3 linked regions of the Coturnix japonica genome follow. The protein of the gene in region 3 interacts with the protein of the main gene of each other region in a biochemical or structural test. Links are inferred from orthologs where the notes say so. Each region holds a gene or a part of one and is shown on either strand. Other genes may lie near its edges.

Region 1 (4,672 bases), on a different chromosome or scaffold from region 3:
GTGGTCCCAGCAGGCAGTCTTGCACCTGAGTCGCAGCAATCCTCACTATCACTACAAGCTGGGGGGTGAAAGTTTAGAGTGCCCTGCCAAAAAGGATTCAAGAGGGCTGGCAGATGGCAAGCTGGACATGAGCCAGCAATGTGCCCTCACAGCCCAGAATGCCAACGGTGTCCTGAGCTACGTCAAAAAGAATACCATCAGCAGGTACTCTGTGCCTCACCTGGAGTACTGCATCCAGATGTAGAGTCCTCAGTTCAGGAGACATGGACCTGTTGGAGTGTGTCCAGAAGAAGGCCACAAAAATGATCCAATGGATGCATGACTTCTCCTACAAGGACAGGCTGAGAGAGCTGAGGCTGTTCAGCCTGGAGAAGACAAGGCTCTGGGGAGACCTGAGAGCAGCCTTTCAGTATCTAAAGGGGGGTGTAAGAAGGAAGGGGATGGACTCTTTAGCAGGATCTGTTGTGACAGGACAAGGGGAAATAGCTTCAAACTAAAAGAGGAGATATTTAAATTGCATACTTATAAGGAAGAATTTTTGTGTGTGTGTGATAACGGTGGTGAGGTACTGGAAACAGGTTGCCCAGAGATGTGGTGGACATCTGGTCCCTAGAGACATTCAGGGTCAGGCTGGACCTTGATCTAGCTTTAAGTGTCTCTGTTCATTGCAGGAATAAATGTACCTTTAAAGGTCCCTTCCAACTCAAAAGATCCTGTGGTTCTATGACTGCAGACCCGACGGTGAGGGAAGAACGTCCTTCCTAGATGTTGCCTTTTGGGTGAATCCGGACAGGTTCCGGCTTCTGGAGGGCAGCAGAAGTGAGGCTGATTCCCGTGACAGTACCGCACGTTGTCACAGTCATGGTCACAGCCATGGCCACTGGGAGGTGGCTCTGTGGGACACGGAGCGCTGATGGCCGTACGTAGTTGAGGGGAGAGACTCGGCTCGGACTTAGGTGACCCCAGTGTCCCGATATCGCGGCCCGGCCGCTGTTTGCTTTTTGCTTTGCCTCTGAATGGAACGTGGAGCTCAGCCGCGACGGGCTGCCTCGTGTGGCTCCGGCGGTACAGCGGGGTGTTGGCAACCCAGCCCAGGGGCTGTCTTTGTCAGCAGCGCCAGCAGAGCAACAAGCCCCGTGGGGTGAATAATTAGGGGAAGCGCTTTTTTATGAACTAAATCTCAGGAAGTGTGGTGTTCTTTGCCGTGTGAAGCCGCCCCGATGACCCATATGAAATATTTGCGTCCGTTGTTGAGACTGCGCTTCGGGAGCCGAAAAGCAGCGGCAGCGGCAGAAATGCCGTGTACGTTCCGGACCCGCTGTTGGTCACGCCGCACGCCGACATGCCGCCGGAGAATTCCTCAATGGCGCTGCCCCCGCCCCCTCTGCCCGCAGGCCGCGCCCCCCGCTCGCACGTGTGGATCTGCTCGCCGCTTGTACCCCTCGGGCAGGACCCGCCCCCCGGGCGCCCATTGGCCGCGGTGGCCGCAGGGGGCGCGGTGAAGGCGTGGCGCTCCGTGCCGGGCGGGCTCCACCCACGTGCGGCGGCGCGGCGGGAGCGGGCGGGCTGCGAGCACACATCCCGCACGTAGCCCGCGTATTAATCAGCGCGGGGCCATCTGCCGCCCGCCCCTTAAAGCGTTGGGGGGCTGCGGGCGTCGCGAGGGAGCGGTTTGGTGTTGTGCGGTAACAGCGATATCGGCGCGGGGCTCCGACGGCGGCGTCGTCCCCGAGGCGCGGGGCTGAGCCGAGGCACGGAGCTGAGCGCGGCCGGTCGGTCCGGGCGTCCGCAAAGTTTGGTCCCGTCCCGGAGTCCCGTCCCGGCCTGGAGCCGGCGGGCATCACCTCCCAAGGCGGGTGCCTGCAGGGCAGCGGCGCGCTCGTCCCCGCCGCGCCATGCCGCTGGGGCACATCATGCGGCTGGACCTGGAGAGGCTCGCTCTGGAGTACGTCGTGCCCTGTTTGCACGACATCGGCTTCTGCTACCTGGACAACTTCTTGGGGGAGGTGGTGGGCGACTGCGTGCTGGAGCGGGTGAAACGCATGCACCGTGACGGTGAGCTGGCCGACGGGCAGCTGGCCGGCCCCAGCCGCGGTGTGGCCAAGCGGCATCTCCGCGGCGACCAGATCAAGTGGATCGGGGGCACGGAGGAGGGCTGTGAAGCCATCAACTTCCTTCTCACGCTGATCGACCGCCTGGTGATGTACTGCGGCAGCCGGCTCGGCAAGTACTACGTAAAGGAGCGCTCCAAGGTAAGCGGAGCTGCTCGCGGCTGCGGGAGGTTTCCCGCTCCCGGCCCGGGGACGCCCCGTCGGGCAGATCCCGTGGCGTCGCTCCGGGCGTCACCGGGAGCGCTGTCCTGGAGAGCGGGGAGCACGGACGGCTTCTCGGAGTGGGGCCACTTGGGGCGGCTGCCCGATGCCTCGTTCCTGGTGCCGGTCCCTCGTCCGTCAGTGGCGTTGTGCTGTGTCCCGGCGTCACCTCACTTGCCAGCTGCGGAACCCGGCACCGTCGTGCTGGGAGCACCCTGCCAGAACAGCCCGGCCGTGGGCTTGACTGTCCTTCAGGGACTTGGTCCAGGTGGACGGAGAGCCCCTCCGTGCTCGGTTGGATCGGGCTACTCGCGACCGTTTGTCAGTGCTGTCCTAACTAGTTTCAGTGTTCGTGCCGGTGTCCTACACCTGAAGCTGCTCCCGTCGGGATTTGGCACAAAGTAAGGGATGCTCTGTCTTAGTGAGGCAAACTTTTTGTTTTGGAAGGAGAGAATCCGTATTTTGTCCCGAGGCTCTCATGTTTGGAAATGGAGAGGACCCCTGTGTATTGCCTTTGTAGATTTCTTTCCCAATGAAATGTGTTTGTCCTTTTCATGTTGGTAATTAAGTTTGGCCTAACTTCGTTTTGCTGTCCTCGTCTCGCTGTAGTGAAGCAGGCTGGTTTGGCACTAACTTTATTTCTTTGTCCTGAATATTGAAAATGTCCCCGTTTCTTTTTTCTATTCTTTTCTGACTTGAGTTCTGTAATATGTAGCACACTTCTAAAACATCCATGTCTTCTTCAGAAATGCTAGAAATAAAAATGGTGGTGTTTTTTTTTTTTTTCTTTTTTAATTAAAAGACAAATGAAAGGTTAAGTATTTGGTTGGGTCCTAACGAACTAGAAGGATGTGTGATTGGTGATGAGACTTTTTTTTCTCAACAGAAAAATGAAGGATCTAACATGCCATGTTTACCAACTTCTTGGGAACCCCTTAAAACCTGTGTGTGGGAAGGCCCCCACACACCTCCGCACAGTGATGGGAGAAATATAAGGATGGAGCATGGCTCTATTGTGCAGCCCCACTGAACTGCCCATCAATCTGGTTAAAGCTTGGGTAGATTTAGTTTAAAAGGAAAGTGGATTGGAGTTCACTTATTTGTGGTGTAGGAAGGTATAAATACCTAGTCTGCTTGGGCATGCCTCTAAGGGCATCTTAGATCCTTTTCTGGGTGACTTCTGTTTGCCTGGCTTCTGCCGAAGGCGCAATACTGCATGTTAGCGAGGTATCTGGGGAAAAACTCAGCTAGGTGTGGGAGGGCTGTTGGTGCTGGCTGGGGAGAAGGGTCTCTTGGGATGTAGGGTCTTTGAAACTGAGTTGTGGTCTTGCCACAAATTTGTGCCCACAGCAGTAACACATGACAGAACTTGTTTTATAAATAAGTACCAAGCTGCTTGCTATCAAGTGAGTCTTTTGGCCCTTGTGATTCATCAGGGAAGTATCAGACTCCAAGTAGTACATGAAAATGCTGTACAACAGCATGAGATTGAAAGGGACTCCATACAGTTTGCAAAACTAAATGAAGAGAAATTTCCATCTGAAATTAAGAGTAACAAATCCCTTAAGGTTAATAATATAAATGCCATGGATATGGGAGTAGCAGCTGTCATCTGTAGCTGGCATGTGGGACACCTTTGGCAGGAAGATTATTCCCGTGACTAATCAAATGACTCCTGCAGTACATGCAGGCTCCCACGTCACCTATGGACATTCTCCTTCCACCATTAAACCAGTCCTTTTTTGCTTATTTTCTGAAGACTTGTGAACACATACGCTGAATTTAAAAGTATGATTTTTGTGTGTTTGTTTATTTTTGTTCTATCAACTCTACACAGACATAGATGCCCAGACAACCTCTTAGAGGGAGAAGTTTCTGAGCAACTGGGCCACCACTTCTTAGATAGAGATATGCTTTTATCTACTGATTTGGGAAATGAATATTGACAGATAGGGCTAAGAGTTCCAGATCAGTCTGTTGAAAACGTAAGTCTTTGGCTACGTGGTAACTCCTTGTTGTAGAAGTGAATTGGCCTCATCATTATTTATATATTTAAGGTTTTAAAATAATAGTATGTCCTTAATCTGCAGCTTAAGTATTGGAGAAGTAGGGTAAGTTTTCTTAATAAATGAACTTTTATAAGCTTACTATCTGCTTATTGTAATGTGCTTCATGGGTTTTGTTTTTTTGCAGCTAAACAAATGTCAGAAGACAAGAAAGGCTCTTGTACAACAAAGGAAGCTTTCCTTGCAGCTACATTTGAGAAATAAGTCAGAGTAGGATTTTGTTGTTTCCATATGACTTTCAACAACATTGCAAGAAAGTTGAGATTACATCAAAGAGAGTAGATGGAAGTTAAA
Region 2 (4,634 bases), on a different chromosome or scaffold from region 3:
TCATTGACCATCTTTCACTGGCACCAAACCTGCAGATCTGGAGAACCAAAACGTTCTTCACAATCTGTAGGAAAATACCACTATACTCATGACTAAAATGCAATTAATGATGGTTTTAACAGCTCCGAGTGTCCTAATCCAGCAGCATATACAGAAGGTAAAAATTAGATGTCATTCAGAACATCTGCTTCAGAATGGAAGTTTATGTAGAAACCCCAACTTCAGTATTACCGGAACAAGAAAAATGCAATACAGCTGATCTTAAATACCAAAATGACTTCTGGAGATGTGTGTCACAGACAGCAGAAACATCAAGGACCAAAGAGATATTTAATCCTGTGTCTTATCTACAGGACTGAGTGATATAACATCCTAAAATACACTCAACAAACACTTCACATCATCAAAACTATTAACGGTTCTGAAATTAGCCCCTGGGCAGTTCAATTATCCAAACTCAAGGATAGATTTGCCTTTCCAGATATTAACGTGCAGTCAATTCAATTGTCTAAAGGCAGGTCGACATGGCTGCAAATCAGCAGTGCTGAGGATGCACAGCACAGCTGCTGAACCAGCAGGGATCTAGTAGAGCCCATCAGCTGCAGCACCACTCCATGCAGCACCCCAGCTTAGGACCAGCGTCCTAGAAACAAAACCAGCAGGGCCTGTGGAGAAGGGAGAGCAAGGTGTAGTGCCATCCTGAGTGCTACACAGCTTAACCCCAGCACTGCTTGCATTGCTCCAGTTCATGCAGAAACAGTGCTAAGTCAGGATCACTAAGACAAACCTCCTGTTAACTGCATCTGGTTGTGTACCTAAAGCCCCATGATTCTCAACACCTGCACTGGTCAAATCCTCCCCAATTTCTGTGACATCTCAGATAGCACTGAAGTTAATCTCAAATAAAATGCCAAGGAATATGAGCTTCCCTCTGTCCATTAATGTTTTCCTGGGAACTGTATAAAGTTGTAAGGGTAATCCAAGCATCCCAGACAGTAACTCATAAAGAAAGAGTACAGACCCAGTGTAAGCTTACTATAAGTTTAACAAGAAGTTTAAAAGGTCCGTGCTAAAGTAAACAGCTGTGAGAAAACACATGTGCAGATCTCCAGGAGATGAGCCAAGTCTGTGTGCTACAGCTGCTGCAATATAAAGAAAAAATGGCACTGTTTTGCCCTACGCAAGAACTGAGAGAAGAGCTCTATCGGTCTGAGAAGCTGTAATGAAAGACACCAAGACACTCTCTGCCTTGCTCTGCCCACCTCTAAGCACAGTGTGCCAGCACTTGCAGCTCTGAGATGCCCAGCAGGCATGTTTCCCCATCCCTTTTTCCCTGAAGGAATCACTGCGATGCCACGTGTCAGATCTTTGGTAGAACAGGAACACTGTATGTTCAACTGGTTGGTGTTAGCACTGTGGGTCAGTATAAAGCAGCTGCACTCACTTGGAGGAACAAGTCTTGTTCTAATTTGTTAGTGACTCACACCACAAGTGATTAATGCTTTCCCCCGGTTCCACATGACTTCTCCGAATTGTTTTTACACTGCTGTTATGTCAAAGTGACCCCAGCACGTGCCACCTCAGGCCACACCTTAAAGGAGCTGTCACCTTCCAGCAGGTCACCACACACAGACATCGGTGCAGCCCATTGCACAGAGCCACAGTGAGAGCCCAGTGCTGAGCAGCTCTGACTGCAGCAATCACTTTGCCAGCCCTGGATCCTGCAAAGCAATGTGGCTGCTGCTCTACTAGCAAGGGTGGATGTAAAACACTGTTCACAGAAAACCCACCGTGTGTCTTTAACACAATTATATATAGCGCAACAAGGCAGATGCAAAGATAGGAGGGAGATAACAATTCAGAGTGGATACAGGGTACAGTTACTAAGACAACAGGCTGACAGCTCCTCCTGCATGTGGAAGGGATCAGCCCGGGAGGAAGTTCTTAATAAACTCTTCCCCAGAGAAACGCGAGGATTTCATCGCCAAAGTAGAGCTGACAGCTCCCATCACACCATCCCTTTCAGAACCTCTTGCTCCTCTTGGCACTGCCTTGGGTCACCACTCAGCTGCAGCATTGGACTCATCTGGACAGGAGCCTCAGTGGCACCTGCATGATTCCAACTTGACATATAAACCTCCTTCTTCTTCCCAAGCACTAAACCCAGCCGTCCCCTCCCTCCACGTGCTGTTTCCTGCTGACTTCACCATTCTTCCATTCAGTTGGACACTTCTGATTTTTGTCCACGTCTGTTGTTTTCACTTCTCCCAGCACAGACCTGCCACGCTCCACTACTCCTTTTACGGCTCCCCCCGGCCCCATGTTATCCCTGCATCAGCACTCACTCTCCACATCCCTACCCCAAGAGATGTCAAGCTGCCACTACATCCTTCACCTCTCACCGTACCGCTTTTCCTCCTCCTCAAGCAGGACACCCACAGCTCACTGCCCACCTGCTGTTCAGCTGCGGCCTCTCTCTTTGCAAATTGCTTTTGAAAACGTCTGTATTCTCCACCTGTTCTGCATAGTTACACAGCACCATAAATGCTGATAAAAAATAACTATTATTAAAGCGACACTTCAACAAGCACGGTAACCACCGTGCCACCACAGCACAGGTTCACCGTTAGGAACGAAACCAAACACACGGTTACAAACCGCTGTCAGTGCGCTGTACAATACGCGCGTGTACCCGTGTGCTTAACGACGGGCACCTGCAATTCCGGCACCACAGCGGCCGCCAAAGGGAAGAGCGGAGCGGCCGAGCCGAGGGCTCCGTCCCGGTCCCGGTTCCCTCGCAGTCCCGGCTCCCTCCGCCCCCTTGGGCAGCCCGCCCCGCTCCCTCCGTCCCGGTACTCAGCACCGAGGCCGCACCACCCGCCGTGCTCCCGCCCCGGATCGGCGGCGGGGCCGAGCCGGTCGCGTCCCGGTGCCCTTGGCGCCGCCGATCCCGCTGTCCCAAGCATGGCGGCCGGCCGCCCGTGGCCGCTCCCGCCGCCACCCGCTCCGGGCCGTACCTGCCGCAGGGTGCGCACCGAGCGGCCCAGCGCCCGGCCCAGGCAGCGCGACCGCCACAGCAGCAGCATCGCGGCGGCGGCGGGAGGAGCTGGAGGGCGGACACCGGATGCAGGCCCGGCGCGAGCCGGAAGCGCTTAGGGCCGCACCAAGTGCTGCGGCGGGGGGAGCCGGGCGTGGCGCCGGGCGGGGGGCGCGGAGCGGGGCGCCGTGCTGCTGTGCCACGGGCCGGCTGTGCTGCACCGATAACGGCACTGACACTGCGTGGGGACCGAGGGCAGAGCTCCGCGTCTGAGCTGTGTCTGTGCTGGCAGCCATGCTGGGCTCCTGGCTGTGCGCTGTTGGTGGGATCCGGGTGTGGCTTGCTGCAGGGAAGCCGTGCTGGTGGGATTCATGCTCACCTTGCCGTGTCCTGCCTTCAGCCCTGCATAGAACAGAGCTGCTGTCAGCTTGACTAGAAATGGGCAAGGAGCTCAGCAGACAGCTACGGGAAATAACAGAACCACAAACCACACACAAGTGAACAAAAATGGGCTAAAAGGTAGAAGGAATAGAGCAAGGCACAGAGAATCTGATGGCTGTCAAACAAGGCAGCTGTGCCAGGAAGGCTCAATGCCAGGGGTGCCTCTGCCGTCTGTCTGTAAGGGGCTGAGACCCTTGAGTAGGGCTGCCCCATGTCAGGCTGCTTTTCACCACAGCCACCTGCCTAATAAAATGAGCATCACAGTGTTTATGAAATATAGATGGCAACCTGGAAATGTCAGAGCCGACTTGGTTTTGTCCAGCTCCAGGAGTTCCATCTGCTCTTGGCCTGGCAGCTCCATCTTGGATGTGCTGGTAGTAGGAATATCCCTAGAGCGCCCTGCAGTCAGCAAGGTACTGACTTTGCACAGCATTGCTGAATATCCCAAGTTGGAAGGAACCCACAAGGATCATTGAGTCCAACTTCTGGCTCCATATAGGACCACCCGAAATTCAAACCCTGCATCTGAGAGCATCCTCTAAATGCTCTTTGAACTCTATCAGCTTGGAGCCATGACCATTGGATAGAGCTCTCTGCTCCTGGGATTGCCTCCTCATGGGCCTCAGCCTCTCAGCTGCCAAAGCACAGCTGAGCTGCAGAGCCTGACAGGCATTGCATAGTGCTCTGCCATGATGGACATGGGGAACTTATGGGCTGCTCAGTCTAGTGCTGGTGATGTTTCAAAAGCTGATCTGACATTTTTGTCTGTCTGAGGTGTTTTGCTCAAGGTTGAAGCTCTGCTTTAAGTTCCAGATGTCCTGCTTATCTATGATAAACAACCTTCCTGAGATGGGATGTTTCTCTTCAAAGATCCAAGACTGCCATAAATTAGACCCACAGGGACAGCATCCTTGAGATGAGGGCACAAGTCCAAAAGAGGAACCAATCAGAACAGACTAAATGTCCTTGTGCCCAAATACGGATAAAGCGAGGAGTGGGATGCCTCCCCAGACCATCACTAAAGACCCCTGTGCAAACGCAGAAGAATTGAATATGTTATATAACCTTAAACTTACATAAACATATGAATATGTAATAGACAGGTGTGACTTATGTATTAGGTAAGTGTATAGTGAAAACTTTTGGCTATAAATAG
Region 3 (4,637 bases):
CCCCAGGATTTGGAGAGAACCTTGGGGTCCCTTTATTCTCAGAGCTCCAAAGAACTTCCACACCTATGTCAAAGACTCTCAAGAGAGAATGGCAGAGGAAAAGCAGCATGTTGGCCATGTAACTCAAGAGAGGACAGAGCACAGCACAGCTCACCCCACACTATGGCTCGTTCTGGCTTTGCCGTGGCACAGCCTTCAGTGTGTCTGAATGCACTGCACATTACTGAGTGCCAAAGGAAAAATAAAACCAGAGCTGCAGTCAAAGCATTGTTCTCTGGTACCTTGGACTGCATCATCTTGCAAAGCTCGGCAGTGCTTCACAAGGAAGAAAAAAGCAGAACTCCACTAACACTGCACCTCCTTTTAATGAGAGCACGGGCAGTGTCTCAGTGGAACTCCTCGCAGGGCGCACAGCCACCAATGAGTCACACATGGTGCACGCCCGAGCAGCGATAACAGCACCATTCTGGGAAGTGCAGCCACACCTCGGAGGAAAGCGTTGCTCATTTAAGGGCAAGAGGAGTCAAGTCAGCAGCAGAACTCTCGGGAAAATGCTGTATGTCATGTGCCCGATGAGCTGACGGGGAATTCAAACCACAGCCCTGTTCATGGCCGCCCCGTCCGCTGCGCTGCTCAGCGGCACCACGCAGCGCTTTGTGCGCCCAGAGCCGCATCCAGCCCGGCGCAGGGACAGACAGCAACCACGGCAGCGGGCAGGGAAGCGCGCAGCTTCAGCCCCGGCTCTGCCCGCTTCCTTCTTCAGCCCCGCCGGCAAATGAAAGGGACGCGGGGACATTCCCACCCCCGGGCCGTCCTCACTTCTCCTCCGTTACCAAAACACAACGCGTTTAAACCGGTGTTTTATTTTCAACATTCTGTTACGGGGGGGATGAAAACAGCCCCATTTCTTTTACCCGACCTCCGCCCCCAAGCAGCGCTGCAGCACTGTTCCATTCTCCATCAGACCCATCTCTCATCGTTCCGTCCTCCCGCTCGCTCCGCTCTCACGCCCCGTCCCGTCCCCGCGAGGAGCCGCGCTCCTCCGCCGCTGCTCGCGCTCAGCACGGCGGCTCAGCGGTCCTCACGAGGGCCGGCACGGGCAGGGATCGGGCCCGAGCCCACGCGGATAACGGCGCCCGGTGGGTTTCCTCAGCCCCGCGGGGCGTCAGCGCCACCGGCGCCCCTTCATCCCAGCGCGGCCGGACGCGGAGCGCAGCGCCCTCGGTTACCGCAGCGCCCTCGGTTACCGCAGCGCCCTCGGTTACCGCAGCCCCGGACGGGCCCGGCGGACGGAGCCGCGTTCTCTCCCGGCATCGCAGCGTACCGGGCGGGGCGGGGCGGTGCGGGGCACGGTGCTCGGGCCGCCGCTGACCGCTCCCGAGTCTCGCCCGCTCCGTCCTGGCACCGCAGCCGTGGGCGCGGCGCTCCCCTGCCTCCTCCTCCTCCTCATCCTCATCCTCCTCCTCCTCCTCCTCCCCCGCTCCCCCCGCCGCCCCGCTCCGCTCCCCGCCCCGCCCGTCCCCCGGAGCATGCTCGCTGCGGCGGGGCCGGGCCGGAGGCTGCGCGCGGCCGCCTCTTGCGTCAGCGGAGCGTTCCGGGCGGGCGCGTCGGGTCCCGAGAGCCGCGGCCCGATGGTGGCGGCAGCGCGGCGCCATGAGCCGCCCTTCGTCCGCCGGGCCGGGCTCTAACAAACCCTGCGGGAAGCAGCCGCCGCCGCACGCCCCCGCCCCGGCCGCCGCCGCGCCCGCTCCCGCCGCCGCCACCATCGCCGCGTCCGGTGCCGGATCCTCCGCCGTGCCCGCGGCCGCCGCCGTCCTCTCCGGGCCGGGCGGGCCCGTGTCTCCGCAGCACCACGAGCTGACGTCGCTGTTCGAGTGCCCCGTGTGCTTCGACTATGTGCTGCCGCCCATCCTGCAGTGCCAGGCCGGGCACCTGGTCTGCAAGCAATGCCGGCAGAAGCTGAGCCTCTGCCCCACCTGCCGGGGCTCGCTGACCCCCAGCATCAGGAACCTGGCCATGGAGAAGGTGGCCTCGGCCGTGCTCTTCCCCTGCAAGGTGAGCGGACGGGGCGCCGGGTTGGACGGGACCCCCTTTCTGCTCACAGCCCTGCTCCTATTTCAGACGTGACAAAAACAACTCGTTTTCTCTCATCGTTGAAATAAGCGCAAGTGGTAAATGCGCTCGTAGGTACGGAGCTGACTTAATGCGGACACAGGGCGGGACGCAGGGCTTCATCTTTTGGAAAAGAAACCTCGCTCTTCGCAGCTTCCATAGGAGCAGCGATGCTCTGCGTCCCGAGAGCTGGGGCAGGGTTAGGGACACCTCCCTTAGGGAGGGTCCTGCTGAGATCCTTTAACTTGTCACCTCTGCCTGGAGCTGCTGCCCCATTTCTGAGCCTTCTTGTGGTTCTGATCCCTCTGAAGAAAAGGGAATCCAGTGAGGATTCATTTCGCTGTACTCTTTATGTTTAGTCCGAGGGCAAGATGTGGAATCCTTTCTGCACTCCACATCCAACCGTAATGTTTTGCTTTTAGAACCACTAGGCGTAGTGAGGTTGTGTATCCATTGAAAGGGCTCCGGCAGCATCGCACTGAGCGCTGCCCCCTTCGGCCGGGCGCAGGGACAGGCACTGCAGCCTCGGGCCGCCGCTGCTTCGCTGTGCAGCTGGGAGGGAAGAGCAGGGATGGACTCAGCGTGTCATTCCCGGCTCTGCTGCAGATTTCCCCTGCAGCTTCAGACAAGGTGCTTTAATCCCATATACACCCTGCCTTCATTCACTGACCTGGCTCTGCTGAGCACCTTCAAGCTTAGCCAATGTTTTCAGAATGCTTTCAGGCACTCACATTACCTGTAAGGGGAAGTCCAGGGTAACGCGAGTGAAGTGACGTACATAGCAACAACACGGAATGCTAAGTCATTATGTGGTGATGGCTGCAGGGCTGCCTGCTTCCTCTTAGGAAGGTGAATGTGGTGCAAGTAGTGCTGTGACGAAAGGTACTCGTAAAAGTGGAATGCTGGGAGCGAGAGAAAGGCAATGTGAGAGCACGGAGCAGTCACATCAGCTCCGGCATTTGTGGTGCACCAGCACTGCCTGCACCCTGCGCTCCTGCCTCAGGAAGGACACAGGAGAAGTGGAAAAGGTAGAGCCGTCAATGAGATGGGCGGTATCATATGACCTGCACGCAGGGAAAGACCAACAGGCTCTTTGGTTTGAATGAGGATATGGTAAATATCGGTGACATGTGCCAAACAGCATGAAGGCAACAAGTGCTCTGTGTTCCCAGAAGATCTGTGAGAGTCCCTTACAAACCCAGAGCGCTCCGTGAATCTGTTCACAACCTCCTGCTCACCAAACAAAACTGCTGCTGTGTGTTCAGGAGCCAACAGAAGGAGGTGGGTCACAGCAAAGGAAAAACCACAGCTATTTCCTCAGCTCTCTTCCTTGTGTGTTCACCACTGGTCACTTTCTGATACAGGCTGACACTACGCAGACGTTTGCTTTTGCCCATCCAGCAGCTTACATGTTCTTACTGCTTTTCTAACAGGGTCAGACCGAGAGCGGTTCTTCAGCAAAGTGCAAAGCGATTACATTGCCAACAGGGGTATGAATGTAGAGTGAAAACAGCAGAACAGTGAGAGTGGAAGCATAGAACCCAGCGGCAGGGAGCCGTGCTCTGCATGGTGGGTTTCTGCCTGCAGCAGGAGGAGCCCTGGTTGCACCGCAGCACACCTCTGTGCTCCTGTCACAGGTGGATAAATCCTGTCACAGAGGATTAAGCAGCAGAGCACACGTTATGGCTTATAAAGCAAGCTCTGTAGAAGCACAAGGTCTCGTTTCTGTCCCAGCAGTTGTAGCACTGTGCTGCAGTGTGGGTGATTTGGCTGCAGTAAGGAGGACTGTGGCGTCTGCATCTCAGGCATTTCACTCTTTGAGCTGAAACTAATTGTGTTTGCATTTAACCCCAAAATACGCTGTTAAACTTTGATGAATTTGGACTTTGCTTAGTTGAACATTTTACAAAAAGTCTGTCCAGACTTGTGTTTCCCCAGAGATTGTCTTGTTCCTTCAAACATTCTCTCACCTTTGGTCTCAGAGCACAGTCCCTGACCCAAAGAAGCGTCCTACCTCCTGTAGGCAGCCACACGTGGGCTGTGATGGCGGGACCGCATGAGCAGAGTTGCAGAAGTCTCTCCAGCTGTCTGCAGATGGGGGGAGCTGTGCTCCTGCTCAGAGCAAAAGACGCGTTTCTCCTTAGAGGTAGTGAGGAAGAAACGTGTTCAGTGCAGACAGCGACTCGGTGTTGAAAAGGAAAAGCATCCCTGTTTGCTGAAAGCAGATTAACCTTTGGAGGTGCCCGATGACATTAAGAGCAGTCACGCGGTGCTCACTTGTGATGAGCTCTGTGCTCCATAAAAAATCAGCATCTCTCTTCCCACTCTTTGAAACCGTGGTGCTAAAACTTGGGATCGTGGGTCTGAGTTTAATGGAAGTAGGTCTGCTCTGTGTTTATTAAAGGATGCTGTTGCAGTAGCTGTTTGCTGAGACTGGCATCCTGTGTGCTTTCTAAAGAGAAGAATCCATACTGGGACCACTTCAGCTGATGTGGACTGTTCAGGTCTAACTGCAACAGCAGATG

The links. The genes of interacting proteins can lie anywhere in the genome.
Region 1: the proteins of SIAH2 (region 3) and EGLN3 form a complex in vitro, tested with the Homo sapiens proteins (2 studies listed by BioGRID). The link is inferred for Coturnix japonica from reciprocal best matches to the Homo sapiens genes SIAH2 and EGLN3.
Region 2: the proteins of SIAH2 (region 3) and DLST form a complex in vitro, tested with the Homo sapiens proteins (2 studies listed by BioGRID, with this or other methods). The link is inferred for Coturnix japonica from reciprocal best matches to the Homo sapiens genes SIAH2 and DLST.

The regions. Positions count from the first base shown.
Region 1 is NC_029520.1:32,346,154-32,350,825, reverse strand, and holds the start of EGLN3 (egl nine homolog 3), read left to right. Parts: upstream 1-1,526; 5' UTR 1,527-1,895; coding exon 1,896-2,252; intron 2,253-4,672. UniProt on the Homo sapiens protein: Prolyl hydroxylase that mediates hydroxylation of proline residues in target proteins, such as PKM, TELO2, ATF4 and HIF1A. Target proteins are preferentially recognized via a LXXLAP motif.
Region 2 is NC_029520.1:34,551,449-34,556,082, reverse strand, and holds the start of DLST (dihydrolipoyllysine-residue succinyltransferase component of 2-oxoglutarate dehydrogenase complex, mitochondrial), read right to left. Parts: upstream 3,147-4,634; 5' UTR 3,087-3,146; coding exon 3,018-3,086; intron 1-3,017. UniProt on the Homo sapiens protein: Dihydrolipoamide succinyltransferase (E2) component of the 2-oxoglutarate dehydrogenase complex. The 2-oxoglutarate dehydrogenase complex catalyzes the overall conversion of 2-oxoglutarate to succinyl-CoA and CO(2).
Region 3 is NC_029524.1:20,988,817-20,993,453, forward strand, and holds the start of SIAH2 (E3 ubiquitin-protein ligase SIAH2), read left to right. Parts: upstream 1-1,544; 5' UTR 1,545-1,653; coding exon 1,654-2,055; intron 2,056-4,637. UniProt on the Homo sapiens protein: E3 ubiquitin-protein ligase that mediates ubiquitination and subsequent proteasomal degradation of target proteins.